Stegostoma tigrinum: one gene and its partner. The protein of the gene in region 1 purifies or fractionates together with the protein of each later gene. This does not show direct contact. Links are inferred from orthologs where the notes say so. Each region holds a gene or a part of one and is shown in the gene's direction. Other genes may lie near its edges.

Region 1 (7,824 bases):
GCTACTGAAGCATAATCATTTAAGTTCAATTCCTCTTGTAATACCGCATACCATTCCATTAGCCTTCCTGATTACATAACTTTACCTTTACCTTTTGTTTTCTGATGAAGGGTCCTGACACAAAATGTTAACTTTCCTGCTCCTCTGATGCTGCCTGGCCTGCTGTGTTCGTCCAGATCCACACTTTGTTACCTCTGACTCCAGCATCTGCAGTTCTTACTATCTCCTTGTAGCCATTGTGTTTATGTGGTGAATCCAATGGAGTTTCTGGTTAATGATAAACCCCAGAATGTTGATAGTGGATAATTCAGTGATGGTAACACCATTGAATGTCAAGAGGCAGTGGCTAAATTGTCTCTTATTGGTGACGGTCACAGCCTGGTATTTGTGTGGCTTGAATATGTCTGTAAATTATCAGACTGTGATATGACATCTGGGCCTGGATGAACAGAAATTACCCCAAGATAAATACCAGGAAGTCTGAAGCCATTGTCTTCCTCATCACTGACTCCATTCCTTTTGTGGTAACTGCTTGCAACATCAGTGTCACATTAAGATCACTGTATGATCATATGCAATAAGTGTCAATGCTGAGACAATTGATTTCCACCTTATTGGCTGCTAAAACCCACATCCATACCATCTTCACTATTTTAAGCCCCTCCTGTCCAACCTCACAGATTCTACACTCTATAAACTTTCGGTCATACAAACTCCACTTCCTGTGTCCTAGCCCATGTCAGATCTCATTCACTCATCACTTCTGTCCACACTGAGCTACACTAAATCCAGCTAAGGCACACTTTGACCTAAAAGTTAATTTATCTCCAGCATTACAACCTTTCAAGATACATGTGTTCCTCTAATTCCAGCATCTTGAAAATTTTAGTTACTTCCCTGTGCCTTTGCTGTCTGTGGTACCAAATTCTGTAATTCTCTCTTTAAACCCTGCTGTCTGTAGAATTTTCCTTCCTCCTTTATGATACTCCTTAAAGCCTTCTTCCCTGACCATGCTCTTGGACATCTATATCTCTTCATGAGACGTGATATGACATTTTCTTTTAAGGTGGCATGGTGAAGGGCCTTGGAGCAATATACAAATATAAGCTGTTGTTATATGTTGGTTCACTTTTGGAGGACTTAATAAAGTTTAATATTACTAATCTCTGAGCTGTTTTGCTGTCTATTTTCCTCTTTGTATATTCAGATTATGTATGCCTTAGCAAAAGTCTTCTGCAGTCTAGATTGATTTACTTTAGAGACCTGGATAATCTGAGCACACTATCATGTCAGCTTTCCATCATGATAGTAAAGGCATAAATGAGTATTATTTTCATAGCTTCATGTATTAACAATTGAATTTATACTAAAGCCTTCTTGCAATGATACTAAACTATTTAATATATCCTTCAATGTCATTACCTTTTTTTAATTTATTGATTAATAGGATGTGGGTGTTGCCCGTCCCTAGATGCCCTTGAGCAGGTGATAGTGAGCTGCCTTCTTGAAACGCTGCCATCCACCTACTGTGGCCCGACCCACAATGCCATTAGGGAGGAAATTCCAGGATTTTGACCCAATGACAGTGAAGGAACAGCAATATATTGCTCGGAGGGGAACTTGAAGGTGGTGGCGTTCCCGAATATCTTATGCCCTTGTCCTTCCAGATGGAAGTGGTTGTAATTTTGGATTGTAGGATAACAAAGTGTGAAGCTGGATGAACACAGCAGGCCAAGCAGCATCTCAGGAGCACAAAAGCTGATGGTTCGGGCCTAGACCCTTCATCAGAGAAAGGGTCTAGGCCCGAAACATCAGCTTTTGTGCTCCTGAGATGCTGCTTGGCCTGCTGTGTTCATCCAGCTTCACACTTTGTTATCTTGGATTCTCCAGCATCTGCAGTTCCCATTATCAGTGATTTTGCATGGTGCTGTCTGAGGATCTTTGGTGAATTTCTGCAGTGCATCTTATAGATTGTACACATTGCTGCAAATAAGGGTTGGTGGTGAATGAAGTGGGTGCATGAAGTGCCAATCAGGTGGGTCGCTTTGTCTTGGATGTTGTGAAGCTTCTTGAGTGTTGTTGGAGCTGCACTCATCCAGGCAAGTGGAGAGTATTCCATCACACTCCTGACTTGTGCCTTGCCAATGGTAGACAGACTTTGGGATGTCAGAAGATATGCTGCAGTATTCTTAGCCTCTGACCTGCTCTTGTAGCCATTGTATTTATGTGGTGAGTCCAATTGAGTTTCTGGTCAATGATAACCCCCAGTATGTTGATAGTGGGGATTCAGTGATGGTAATGCCATTGAATGTCAAGGGGCAGTGGTTAAATTGTCACTTGTTGGTGATGGTCATAGCCTGGCATTTCTGTGACATAAACATTACTAACCACTTGACATGAGCAGTTTCAAATGGTGCTGAACATTGTGCAATCATCAGAGAACAACCCCACTTCTGACCTTATGGTGGAGGAACGGTTGTTGATGAAGCAGCAGAAGAGGGTTGGGCCTAGGACACTACACTGACGAGCTCTCACAGAGACCACATGGAGCTGAGATGACTGAACTCCAACAGCTACAAGCATCATCCTATCTGTCAGGTCTGACTTTAACCACCAGAGAGTTTGCCCCCGATAATAATTTGTTCCAGTTTTGCTACGGCTCAGTCAAATGTAATCTTGATGTCAACGGCTGCCATTCTCACCTTACCTCTGGAATTCAACGCTTTTGTCCATGTTTGAACCAAGGCTGCAATGAGGTCAGGAGCTGTGTGGTTCTGATGGAACCCAGCCAGGCATCACTTAGCAGGTACTGATAGCACTGTTGATGACACCTTCCATCACTTTATTGATGATTGAGAGTAGACTGATGGAGCAGTAATTGGTCAGATTGGATTTGTCCTGCTTTTTGTGTACAGGACATGCTTGGGCAATTTTCCACAATGTTGGGTAGGTGCCAGTGTTGTCTCTGTACTGGAACAGCTTGGCTAGGAGAGTGGCAAGTTCTGGAGCAGAAGTCTTCTGTACTGTTGCCGGAATGTTGTCAAGGCCCTTACCCCTTGTACTATCCAGTGTCCTAGCCACCTCTTGAAATCACATGGAGTCTATCGAATTTACTGACAACTGGTGTCTGTGATGCTAGGGATCACTGAAGGAGGCCGAGATGGATCATCCACTGGGCACTTCTGGCTAAGTATTGCTGCGAAAGCTTCAGCCTTTTTTTTGCACTGATTTTGCAAAATGTTTGCAATTATTTGCTGCCATAGCAGCCATGAACCATTGCCTCCTATATTGAAAAAAATTACATAAAATCTCCTGGACTAGTTTCTTTGAAAAGCGAAGTCTGGCATTTCTACTGTACACTGTGTACTATTTTGCTTAAACTATATCCTGGAAATGTAATCTTTTCAGACACTTGAAAGTTTATATCTAAAAGCAATAGTCTGTAAAGTGCAATTTAAAATGTTGTAGATTCTCAATGTAACATAAGTTCAAGTGCAAACACAGAGCAAATAAGAATTTATGTGAACCTGATAGAAGAGCAATTTTGAAAAGTGTTCAATGCAGCTGTGACTGGTATAGTGTTGTTCCTTTTCAGGAATGATCACAATTGGACTTAAGCAGAAAGAAAAGAAGCAGCATTTCTACAGTGTTTTAATATTAAGTCAGATATTGCCTCTTCACAACAAGCTGAAACGATTATTTGATGCTGTTAGATATAAGAATAGGTGTAGCCTCCTACTGACTGTGCTGAGGGCTGGAATTTTGTTATTCCTGAATAATTTGTTTGTTTGTCCAGCAGTTTAAGAAAGGGCATCTTGTATCCTCATACACATTGCAGGGATTCCAATGCTACTTCGTAATAGTTCACTTTCGAAATATACACAATCATTTCTGTAAATCATTCATTTAAACATATAATGTTTGAAAGCTGAAAAGGTGTAATGAGTATTTAACATTTCACAGTGTAGACTTCAGTCTGTATGCGTTGCTCCTCTCTCGAGTTTCTTTTTACCTCTTAAGGGAAGCCTTACACTAAAATTGCTTACATTATTTATGAACTTTAGGACCTGCTGGTGCCAATGGCACTAGAGTATGTTTCCTTCCTCCACACACCCTTCTCTGAATAATAGAGGTCATTAATGGTGCTGAAAAGTCTTTTTAACATACTCATGGAGGATACCTTAAATATGTTTAAATTCTACCTTCCCACCTATAAGTTAGTGTCATTGATACCATTTGGAAGGATAATAGTCTCTGCAAAGAACTTATATTTGCAAGATGCCTTGAATTTTTTTTTTCGCAGGTGTATTCACGTACACATTGCCAAAAGCGTTTCTCCTTGTCCTTAATTTTAAGAAAAATGAGACAAGTGAGATCTGTGTGGCTGCGAAGCGAGAAAAAAAACTATCCAAAAAGTGAAACTGCTGAACTCCAGTTCCACTTTCAGCAATGACGGTCGCGTTCGGACCATTCCATCACCTTCAAGCATGACTTGTATTTACCCTGCTCGCTGCTTCTCAGAGGTCTCGCCCTGCCCTGAAGGGTTAACAGGGAAAGTCTGAGGACTGGCTGCTACTTCTGGTTCACAGAGCCATCCAGTGATGAGCAACCGCTGGGAGGAGATGTGAGTGGGAAGCAATACCAGAGGAGGGTGCTCGATGTGGCCAGGGAGGGTGCTCTGTGTGCCCAGGGGAAGTGTAGGACCCTGTGAGTGTCAGTCTCACCTGGATTCTCTCTCTCCTCCCAGTGAATTGACGTCAGGCTGAGTGCTAGCTTCAGGCTGACACAGGCAGAGAGAGGGAGGGAGGGGCAGACACACAGACAGAGGGGCTGGGCTAGCTAAACTCAGCGCTAACTGCTGCCTACCCTGTTGTGTGCTCAACACGGGAGATCGCCCAGAGGGAAGCCGCTGAACCATGTTCTGTTCCCTGCTGCCGGGCTGCGTCCACCTCCTAATCCTTTTAAGTTTGGGCAGCGAGTCCCTGTCCAGGGAAGGTAAGAACCACAGGGACAGAGAGAGAAACCTTGAAAGCGGAGTCTTGCTGCCCCTGCCCCTCCGCTTCCTAAACACCTCCTGGAGTGAACTTATCAGAGCAAAGGGTCCGGAGGCAAGGGCAGTAGGTGGGGAGGAGCGAGATTGCCGAGTGCGGGAATGTTTGCTGCTGGGAACTGAAGTGTTCCGGGGACTTAAAGTCACTTTGCTGTCATCTCCTTTTCTCATCCATCCGGAGAGCTGGGGCGAGTGTGTTAGAGTGTTCGGGCAATCTGATCAGTTGGTACTGAGTGCCTCTCTCGTGCTTCGTTCCTTTTGCTCAGGGACTTTAACCTGTAAGAAACTCTGTAAGCAACGAGTTGAGTTACGGGATGTTTGTTTTGCCAAGAGAGGGTCATAAAGTTTGAGTTTCCCTAAACAAGCACAGATTCTTACCCATTACTGATCGCAGGCATTTCCTTCTTCGCCTTTTTATGTCAGTTTATACACATTTATGATTGCATAATTGCGTGCACTATCACTTAAAGCACAGCTCAAATAAAAAGGTCCGATTGGTTCAGGATCTCAAGGTTCAACCATGGATTATTGCAAGTAAAGGGTGTGCGATGCCAACGTACGAAAATGCAATGATCCTTTTTTTGTTAGCTGTAGCAAAATGTGTCAATTGTTTTGTCTTTATTTGTAACTATGCACAATAGCATGAACTTGATTCACATTTCACAAGCTTGTAGCGTTCTACAAAGGGGGCGAAGTTGCACTCAGTGAAGCAATCTGTACATTTTAAAAAAGTTAGCTGAAGTGTTGAATGCCCTGTGGAATTAGACATGTAACATCTGCCGTAGCAGCTCTGTGATGCTGTGTTCTGCTAAATGTAACCCAAATGTCCATTGATGTCTCATCAACATGATGAATATTTCTTGCACTTGTAGTTGACTATGGAAGTTATACACAAGGAAGTTGTGAGCAGACTGCTTCAGGAACAAATAATTTATTGTGTTCTACTGAGTTTTGTTTTAAGTCCTGATAATGTAGCTGACTGCTGAGTGGCATCTTCAGGATATTTGTCAACTAGTTGGTTTAAAAGTTTAAATTGTCTAATTTAAATAGTTAAAGGAACGAACTCTTTCTACTAAATTAAAATAGCATTGGTGCTAAAAATACAAAATAAATACAGAAGATACTAGAAATGCTTGGCAGGGCAGCCAGTCACTGTTGAAGTTGGTGAAATGTCAGTTTTGTATCTCCACAGATTCTGCTGGTTCTACTGAGGGGTTTTTTTCCAGCAATTTCTGTTTTGTTTTATTATAAAAGTTCCTTAATGATCTGATAGTACAGCAATCTTTTGTTCTGCATTTAAGGGAGTGCCATTTCCAAGGAAATATAAGGATAAGGTGGTGACTTTGTGAGTTGGCCCATAACAGTGAACCACTCATTTGTGAATTGCTCATTGCATTAAGACAAAGTTGTAAAGGCAGAAGCTAGGTTGCAATGGAAATGAACTTGATATTGTGATTGTTTGCAATTGTTCATAATTTTACTTGAGCATTTAGTGTTAAAATCCATTAAAAATTTGCTGGTTCATTTAGTGTGTGAAAAATAACTCAAGCAAATACAAATTACTTTTATATACATCCCCATCCATTTCCTTCTGCCTTGTAAAACCAAGGTTAAATTATGAGGGCAGCTTGTATAGATTAATCGTGTATTCATCCGATGATAGAATATTAAACAGTAATCTATTTGAAATGTTAACAATGTCTAAACGATTTGATAAAACAGAAAGAGGATTCTTTTCTCTTGTGAGGGAGGCAAAATAACATGGGGACATTAAACCTAGGGGCTATCTAGGCTGTTCAGGAATAATGTAAGGAAATATTTTTTTCACACACAAGATAATAACAATCTGAAGCTATTTTCCCTGCTCAGCAAAAAGGTTTTTTGAGGTTAGGTCATTTGAAAATGTTAGAACTGAAATTACTAGATTTTTGATGGGCAAGAATACTCAGTGTAGCAGAATGTAGATATTATGGTGCAGGTCAACAATTATCTGCTTGAACAACAGAACAGACTTGAGCTGAATGGCCTACTGTTTATGTTCTGTTTGCCACTGTCATCACTGTCATTGCTATTAGGATCCTTTCAGACAGCGATATTTATACTGTATAGGATATTGGGTAAAAATTCTGACACAATCTATATTATTGTTGAGCCTACAAGAGCATTTCCTACTTTACCGTTTTGACAAATTGTATCTGTGCCTCTCTGAATTAAATTGTGAGTTTGTGCCGTAAATGTTGAATTATGCCAATTTTGTACTGCCTCAATAAATTGTAAAGTTGGCCAAATTAGTTGAGATTAGGAGCCTTACTTCCAATAAAGGTCTTTCATCCTGTCGGCTTGATGTGATTGAATGTATCTCACGGAAAAATGATCAGTGTACCACTAGTTTAGCACCAGTGATGTTATTAATTAGCATTAATGTTTGATTGGCATTTTCTGTGCACTGCAGCCATAATATAATGTATTTCAACCCAAAGCCAGACAAAGTTTAACACAATACTGTATTAACTTTTCTCTCCTCAATAAATGTATCCCCATGAAATGAACTAATGTACACCTATTGAATTTCCCTTCAATTGCATTTCCCCCTAGAAAGAACAGAACACTGTTGATTTTTTAAAAGAAATGCTAATTGCTGTGACACCGCCAGAAGGGTGATGAGTTTAGACATTGGCAAGGTCATGTGTGGCAGTATATGATTAACTCTGTCTCTTTAGAAGATCCTCACAGATTAAGTGCAAACAAACTAAGCAGATTTTAAAAATCCTCCT
Region 2 (6,968 bases), on another chromosome or scaffold:
AGTGGCAGTGTGAAATGTGAGGAGGATGTTATTAGAATACAGGGTGACTTGGACAGGCTAGGTGAGTGGACGGATGCATGGCAGATGCAGTTTAATGTGGATAAATGTGTGGTTATACACTTTGGTGGCAAAAACAGGAAGGCAGATTACTATCTCAATGGAGTCAAGTTCGGTAAAGGGGAAGCACAACGAGATCTAGGTGTTCTTGTACATCAGTCAATGAAAGCAAGCATGCAGATACAGCAGGTTGTGAAGAAAGCTAATAGCATGCTGGCCTTCATAACAAGAGGAATTGAGTATAGGAGCAAAGAGGTCCTTCTGCAGCTGTACAGGGCCCTGGTAAGACCGCACCTGGAGTATTGTGTGCAGTTTTGGTCTCCCAATTTGAGGAAAGACATTCTTGCTATTGAGGGAGTGCAGCGTAGGTTCACAAGGTCAATTCCCGGAATGGCGGGACTATCATATGTTGAAAGATTGGAGCGACTGGGCTTGTATACTCTCGAGTTTAGAAGGATGAGAGGGGATCTGATTGAGACGTATAAGGTTAATAAGGGATTGGACACTGTGGAGGTAGGAAGCATGTTTTTGCTGATGGGTGAGTCCAGGACCAGAGGACACAGCTTAAAAATAAGGGGTAAGCCATTTAGAACAGAGTTGAGGTAAAAGTTCTTCACCCAGAGAGTGGTGGATATATGGAATGCTCTGCCCCAGAAGGCAGTGGAGGCCAACTCTCTGGATGCTTTCAAGAAAGAGACAGACAGAGCTCTTAAAGATAGTGGAATCAAGGGTTATGGGGATAAGGCAGGAACAGGATACTGATTGTGGATGATCAGCCATGATCATAATGAATGGTGGTTCTGGCTCGAAGGGCCGAATGGCCTACTCCAGCACCTATTGTCTATTGGTCAAGGAAAATTTTCAGCATCTGCCTTGTCAATCCTCTGAAGAATTTTTACATTTCACGGAAATCACCTTTTATTCTTCTCAGTTCAAAGGAGTATAAATTAGTCTATTAATCTTTAGTTATAGAATAATACTTTCATCCCAGGAATCAGACTTTTGAACCTTTGTTGCACTTCCTTTAGAACAAGTATATGTATTCGTAGGTAAGCAACCCAGAGGGGTTGGCAGCTGAATGTTCCCGGATTTAGACCTCTCATGTGTAATAGAAAGGGATATAAAAAGGGGTGGAGGAGTTGCGTTACTGGTAAGGGAATATCTCACAGCTGTACCAAGGGAGGATCTATCAGAGGACTCATGCAGTGAGGCAATACAGGTAGAACTCAGGAATTGGACAGGTGAAATCACAATGCTGAGGGTACACCACAGGACTCCCAACATCCAACAGAAGATAGAGGAGATGATACACAGACAGATTTGGGAAAGATGTAAAAACAGCAGGTTTGTTATGATGGGTGATGTTTAACTTCCCCATGTTGACTAGGACTCGCTTTGTGCCAGGAACTTGGATGGGACAGAATTTGTAAAGACCATTCAGGAGGGTTTTTTTAACACAGTATATAAACAGTCCAACCAGGATAGGGGTTATAGTGGACCTGGTGTTGGGAATGAGCCTGGTCAGATGAGTGAAGTTTCAGTGGGGCAGAATGTCAGGAGGAATAACTGTAATGCCATGGGTTTTGAGATAGTCATAGAAAGGGATAACAGCAATCCTCGGGTGAAGGTGTTAAATTGGGAAGGTGAACTACAACAATATTAGGCACGAATTGGAGCATTTTGATTGGAGTCAGCTGTTTGAGGGTAAATCCACATCAAATGGCAGTTGATAAGAGTTCAGGAGTGGCACATTCCTGCAAGAATAAAGGATATGTATGGCAAGTTATGTGAACCTTGGATGACCAGGGATCATAGAATCCCTACAGTGTGGAAACAGACCATTTGGTTCAAGAAATCCGCACCACTCGTCTGAAAAGCATCTCACCCAGACTCATCCCACTTCCCTTTCCCTGTAACCATGCATTTCCCATGTCTAATCCACCTAATTTACACTATGGACAATTTAGCATGGCCAATCCACCTGAGCTGCACATCTTTGGACTGTGGGAGGAAACTGGAGCACCCTTAAGAAACCTACACAGACACAGGGCGAATGTTCAAACCCCACACAGATGGTCCTGAGGGTGGAATTGAACCCAAGTCCCTGGTACAGTGAGACAGCAATACTAACCACTAAGCCACTGCGCCGCACCTGTGTTCCAGTGCTGGGACCTTAGCTGTTTGTGGTCTACATAACTGATTTGATGGAAAATATAGCTGATTTAATTAGTTAGTTTGCAGATGATACAATGATTGGTGGAGTAGTGGATAGTGAGGAGGATTGTCAGAGGATACAGCAGGATATAGATCAGTTGGTCACAAACTGTCATAGCTCCATTCGCTTACCATTGATTCCAACAACCATCCCAAAGCATTATCACAAATTGAATTCCATTGTTCACAATGGAAGCAACATATTTGACTCTTAGGTGTGTTTATAGTTCCACATATTGTCCATAGCAAACATTCTGCAACAGCACGTCTATACCCAAGAATCTCATGGATCTTTCTGTCATCTCCAAATTTGATTATTCCAATGTTTTACCAGGCAGCTGCTTTCCTCCATTAGACATAAACTCAGATTATTCTCAATTTTGCTACCATATTTCATTTCACCAAGATCTGCTTACCAATAACCCCATTGTTGCTAACTTTGTTTAATGTTTCTCCATTGCCTCAAATTTTAAATTTGCATTTTTGCAGTCAACCTCCCTCAAAGATTTATCCTTTCTTACCTCACTAGCTTTTCTATTCCCCCTACAAATGTATGAGAATTTTCTTTCTGTATTATAACCCCGAATCTCTGGGTATTCCTCTCCACTTCCCTTGCCTCTTTTAAGATGCTCCTTAGTATTCATCACTGACTAGTCACAGTCAATCCTCCTGGTATTTCTTGCTTTGATTTAATTTTTTGTCTGATCATACTCCATTTGATGTTCTAGGAATGTTTGACTTTAGCAAATATTTTATATACATGCATATTGTTTTTGTTATTCCTGATGGCTATGTAGCACTTGTGGAAATCATGTAATGGCAACATCAGAATTGGCTACAATCCTTCTGCTAATTGAAAACTCATTGACATTTACTGTGTTGAGTTACATAAAGGAAAAGGTATCATAGGGCATCAGATGACACAAGAATTGTGCCCCAGTGAGTGCCTGAGATCTTTATGACTGGATAACAGTGAAGAAACTGGAATGCATACTGAGTATGTGTAGAATTATTATTATTAGTTAACATTTATTTTATTTATGTGGTTTAGGTTTTATTACTTATGCTGCTCAAAAAGATTTTGTTTAGTGAAGCTGGAATGACTTTTTTTGTTACCATGTAAAAATGTAGAACTGTATAATTCATATGGATACATGTTCGCCTAACAAAGAACAAAGCACTTCAAGAGCTAGTGATTTCAAATAAACCTGTTGGACTATAACTTGGTGTTGTGGGACTTCTGAATTTGTCCACCCTGGTCCAACCACTGACACCTCCACATCAGAAAAATAATCCTTGTTGCAGTCTTAAGTGGTTTTCTTCTTTTTGTTTTTTTTTTGTTTATGCCCCTTTATAAAATGGACACTTTTGTTGCATGTAATTGGTTTGATGCTACTGGGGCAACCAGTGTCCAATTGTTCCAAACGCAAAAGCTGAATGGTATCCCAAATTATCAACTTTCCTTGTCTGACGAGTACAACTACTTGGAATTGCGGTGGGTATAGGTTCAAGCTGACTTTCAGAAAAGAATGGATAGTTTTCTGGAAGATTTTATACAGGTGGAAAAGGTGGGAAGTCAGAGGAAGGGACTCAAAATGTTTTCTCCGTAGCCGTAACTATTTTAGCCAATCAAGGCGTGGCACGGATTCTCTCCGAAGTTCAGCAGAGAGATCGCCGAGAGGCATTGTGGGAGTTTAGGATTAGTAATCAAGATGGCAGCCTACATACGACTTGCCTCCATATCTCGCTGGTTGAATAGAGGCACACCAGGGTATCGACTATTCGATGTGGTGACGAACTTTGCTCCAGCCGGGCGTAACAGTGAGACCAGTGTTGTTTTCTCAATAAAGCGGTACCGTTCGGTAGCTTTTGAGGGATTGCGGAGCTGCGGCCGGTGCAGAACGGTAACCAGGGTAGCAGGATCAGCATGCTGCAATGGCAAGAAATCCGGGCTCCTTTCGCAATCTAATCCCCGATTGCAGCAAACCTGCAGCTTCCAGGACTTCAGTGAAAAGAGCAGTGGTGGTTCGGTTAATTCGGGGGATGACGGCGTGGAAGACGGGACCGGGGATGGTGGAGGTGGGGAAGGGGCTGCGGGTATGCCCCCTTCCATGACTGCGCTCTCCCCTATGATCGTGCCGGATGTTTTTCCCAATGTCCCCTTGATCGCCGTCACTAGGAACCCCGTGTTCCCCAGATTTATTAAAATAATTGAGGTAGGAATTCTGGAGAACGTTTTTGAGAATGTGACAGTCGTTGATGGATGGGAAACGTTGCGCGAATGGGAACTTTAAATGCAAAATATTTGGATGAGTGGATTTAAACGGGAAAATGTATAGTTATTACGTTCCAAACTATTTTATATTACCCAAGGTAGTTTTCATTTGCAAATTTGAGACTTAAGGACAACTTTTAATTTGATTATTTTAGAGTACGAATTTCAATATCATACGTTAAAGACGCGTTTAACCACTTACTGTAGCAAAGTTACCTTACACTTGCCTCCAAATTGGTAAGCCCAAACGCAGGCCGGGAGACTGCTATGCGCAACACTCCCCTCTGTCTTCTGACCTGTTGCTGTCTTGGTTACAATTCTATTTCAGGCCTGGTGCAGTACTCCAGCAAGGTGGGGGGGGGGGGGGGGGAATCACCTTCTTTGGCGCGTTACAGCCTTCAGGAATCAACGTGGCGCTGAGTAATTTCTGTCCTCCGTTTTTGATTTCACTCACTCCCAGGGTCGTTTGTTTGGGTTTGTGCTCAGCAAAGCTAATCCATTTTTGACTGCTCATACCTGCCATTTGGACCTATTTTCATCGATATGCCTCCTGTACTACTTCAAAAGTACCTTTATCGTTTACTTTGTTCACCCCCATCTGCTCCACCCCTCCACTTTGTTAGCAACGTAAAACCATAATCTTCCAACTTTGTTCAGTTCTGAAGAAGAATAACATCAGACTCGCAACTTTGTATCTCTCCACAGACGCTACTAGACTTAGTGTTTCTCTGGCACTTTTCTTATTTGAAATTCTCTATGCTTTACAGACTAAGAAAAGTCTCATGAGACACAAAATAGACTTGATTATAAGCATTGTGATATTGCATATTGGAGTAATTGGGAGTTGATCAGAAATGATTTGATATATCACTCGTTACAGATGCAAATATATTTTGGTAGAAAACTACACTACATGGTTAAAAATGGTCTGTGGTAATCCACAATTCAAAAGCAGCAGTAAAATCCTTGAGGGCCGCTGACTTTCCACTTTGGATAGATGACTCATCCAGTACTTTTTGTATTTGGTGCTGTTTGTCAGATAGCTAGAAGAGGACAGCCAGTCTGGTTGCATAAACAATGGAAAAGTCCTGTTTGCTGATTAATACCCTTTTACTGGAACTTGAGACTACAAGTGAGTTATGGTCAACCTTGTGAATAAATGGATTTTAAGATCAGATAAAATATCTTGTTCTAAAAACATTTCTTTCTCATCTAAAATCAACAATCCTCCATGGCTCTTCCTCTATTCCCTCTTCAAAAATAGAATACCAACCAAGCATGAGGAGTTAATTGTGTTTTCCATTTAAAAGCAAGACAATAAAATTGAGGGAAAAAAAATTAAAATTGATTAGAACTTAATAGTGAATCTCTTAAGTATACCATAGCTTAGAATACTAAATAAAAACTGAAAGAACTGTGGCTGCCATAAATCAGAAACAAAAACAAAAATTGCTGGAAAAATGCAGCAGGTCTGTCAGCACCTGTGAAGAGAAATTACAGTTAACATTTCAGGTCCTGTGACTCTTTCTGAGAAGCTTCACAGCAATTTCTGTTTTTGATGGCTTAGAATACCTTGTATAACATTCACAGTAGTTCTGCAGATAAATGCCTAACTTTTTGTAGTACTCAGTTATGCAAACTAGATAGGTACTGGGTTTCATCTCTGCTGAATTAATTGCTTTCACCATTCCACAGTTAAGTGTGATCTTACTCACTTTCTGAATGTGGCGAGGACAGATTATGATGCGTACTGTGGGGGAATAGCTTTCTAACTTGGGTGATGTGAAGATCTGCTAATTGGAATTACTTGAAAGTGCTGAGCACTCAGATATCCATCCCACAACATGTATTCCATGTGTGCATGCACACAAGTACATCCTCCATAAACAGTGGTGAATAATCTTTTAAGACTGAATGAGAAAAGCATGTTGGTATTCTGCTTTGGTGTTAAATTTCACATCTCAGATACTAAAAGTTTAATGCAAGAATGGTGACTGCACAAATGTGAATATTTTTCCCTTTGTATAGGTAAAGAACAAAAAGTTAATGGAACTCCTTCGAAGAAAAGTGCGTTTGGCTCAACCATATGCCGGAGTATTTCTTAAAAAAGATGACAGGTAAGCAATATTTAAGATTTTAGTGGTTTGTACTAACATCTAACATTCTGCATAGATGCAACATGGCACATCACAGGGTTGTAGAATGTGTATCAGCGAAGCATCAGTGTATAATGTAAGTTATGCTTAAAGAATAGTCAGAATGTACAAACAATGAAACTTGTAGCGATATTGGGAAAAGAATAGAGGACTGGACTAAATTAGCTCTTCCATAGAGTTGGTATAATCATGGCCTATCTCTGTGCTTATGATTCCAAGATTCCTAGAAAGGCCTAAGAGAAAATAAATCATGTCCAACAATAGAG

The links. The genes of interacting proteins can lie anywhere in the genome.
Region 2: the proteins of egfra (region 1) and lonp1 purify together in Homo sapiens (affinity purification with mass spectrometry; 3 studies listed by BioGRID and IntAct, with this or other methods). This does not show direct contact. The link is inferred for Stegostoma tigrinum from reciprocal best matches to the Homo sapiens genes EGFR and LONP1.

What each region holds. Positions count from the first base shown.
Region 1 is NC_081355.1:101,249,981-101,257,804, forward strand, and holds the start of egfra (epidermal growth factor receptor), read left to right. Parts: upstream 1-4,820; 5' UTR 4,821-4,916; coding exon 4,917-4,995; intron 4,996-7,824. UniProt on the Homo sapiens protein: Receptor tyrosine kinase binding ligands of the EGF family and activating several signaling cascades to convert extracellular cues into appropriate cellular responses.
Region 2 is NC_081383.1:27,675,734-27,682,701, reverse strand, and holds the start of lonp1 (lon protease homolog, mitochondrial), read left to right. Parts: upstream 1-3,953; 5' UTR 3,954-3,983; coding exon 3,984-4,487; intron 4,488-6,574; coding exon 6,575-6,663; intron 6,664-6,968. UniProt on the Homo sapiens protein: ATP-dependent serine protease that mediates the selective degradation of misfolded, unassembled or oxidatively damaged polypeptides as well as certain short-lived regulatory proteins in the mitochondrial matrix.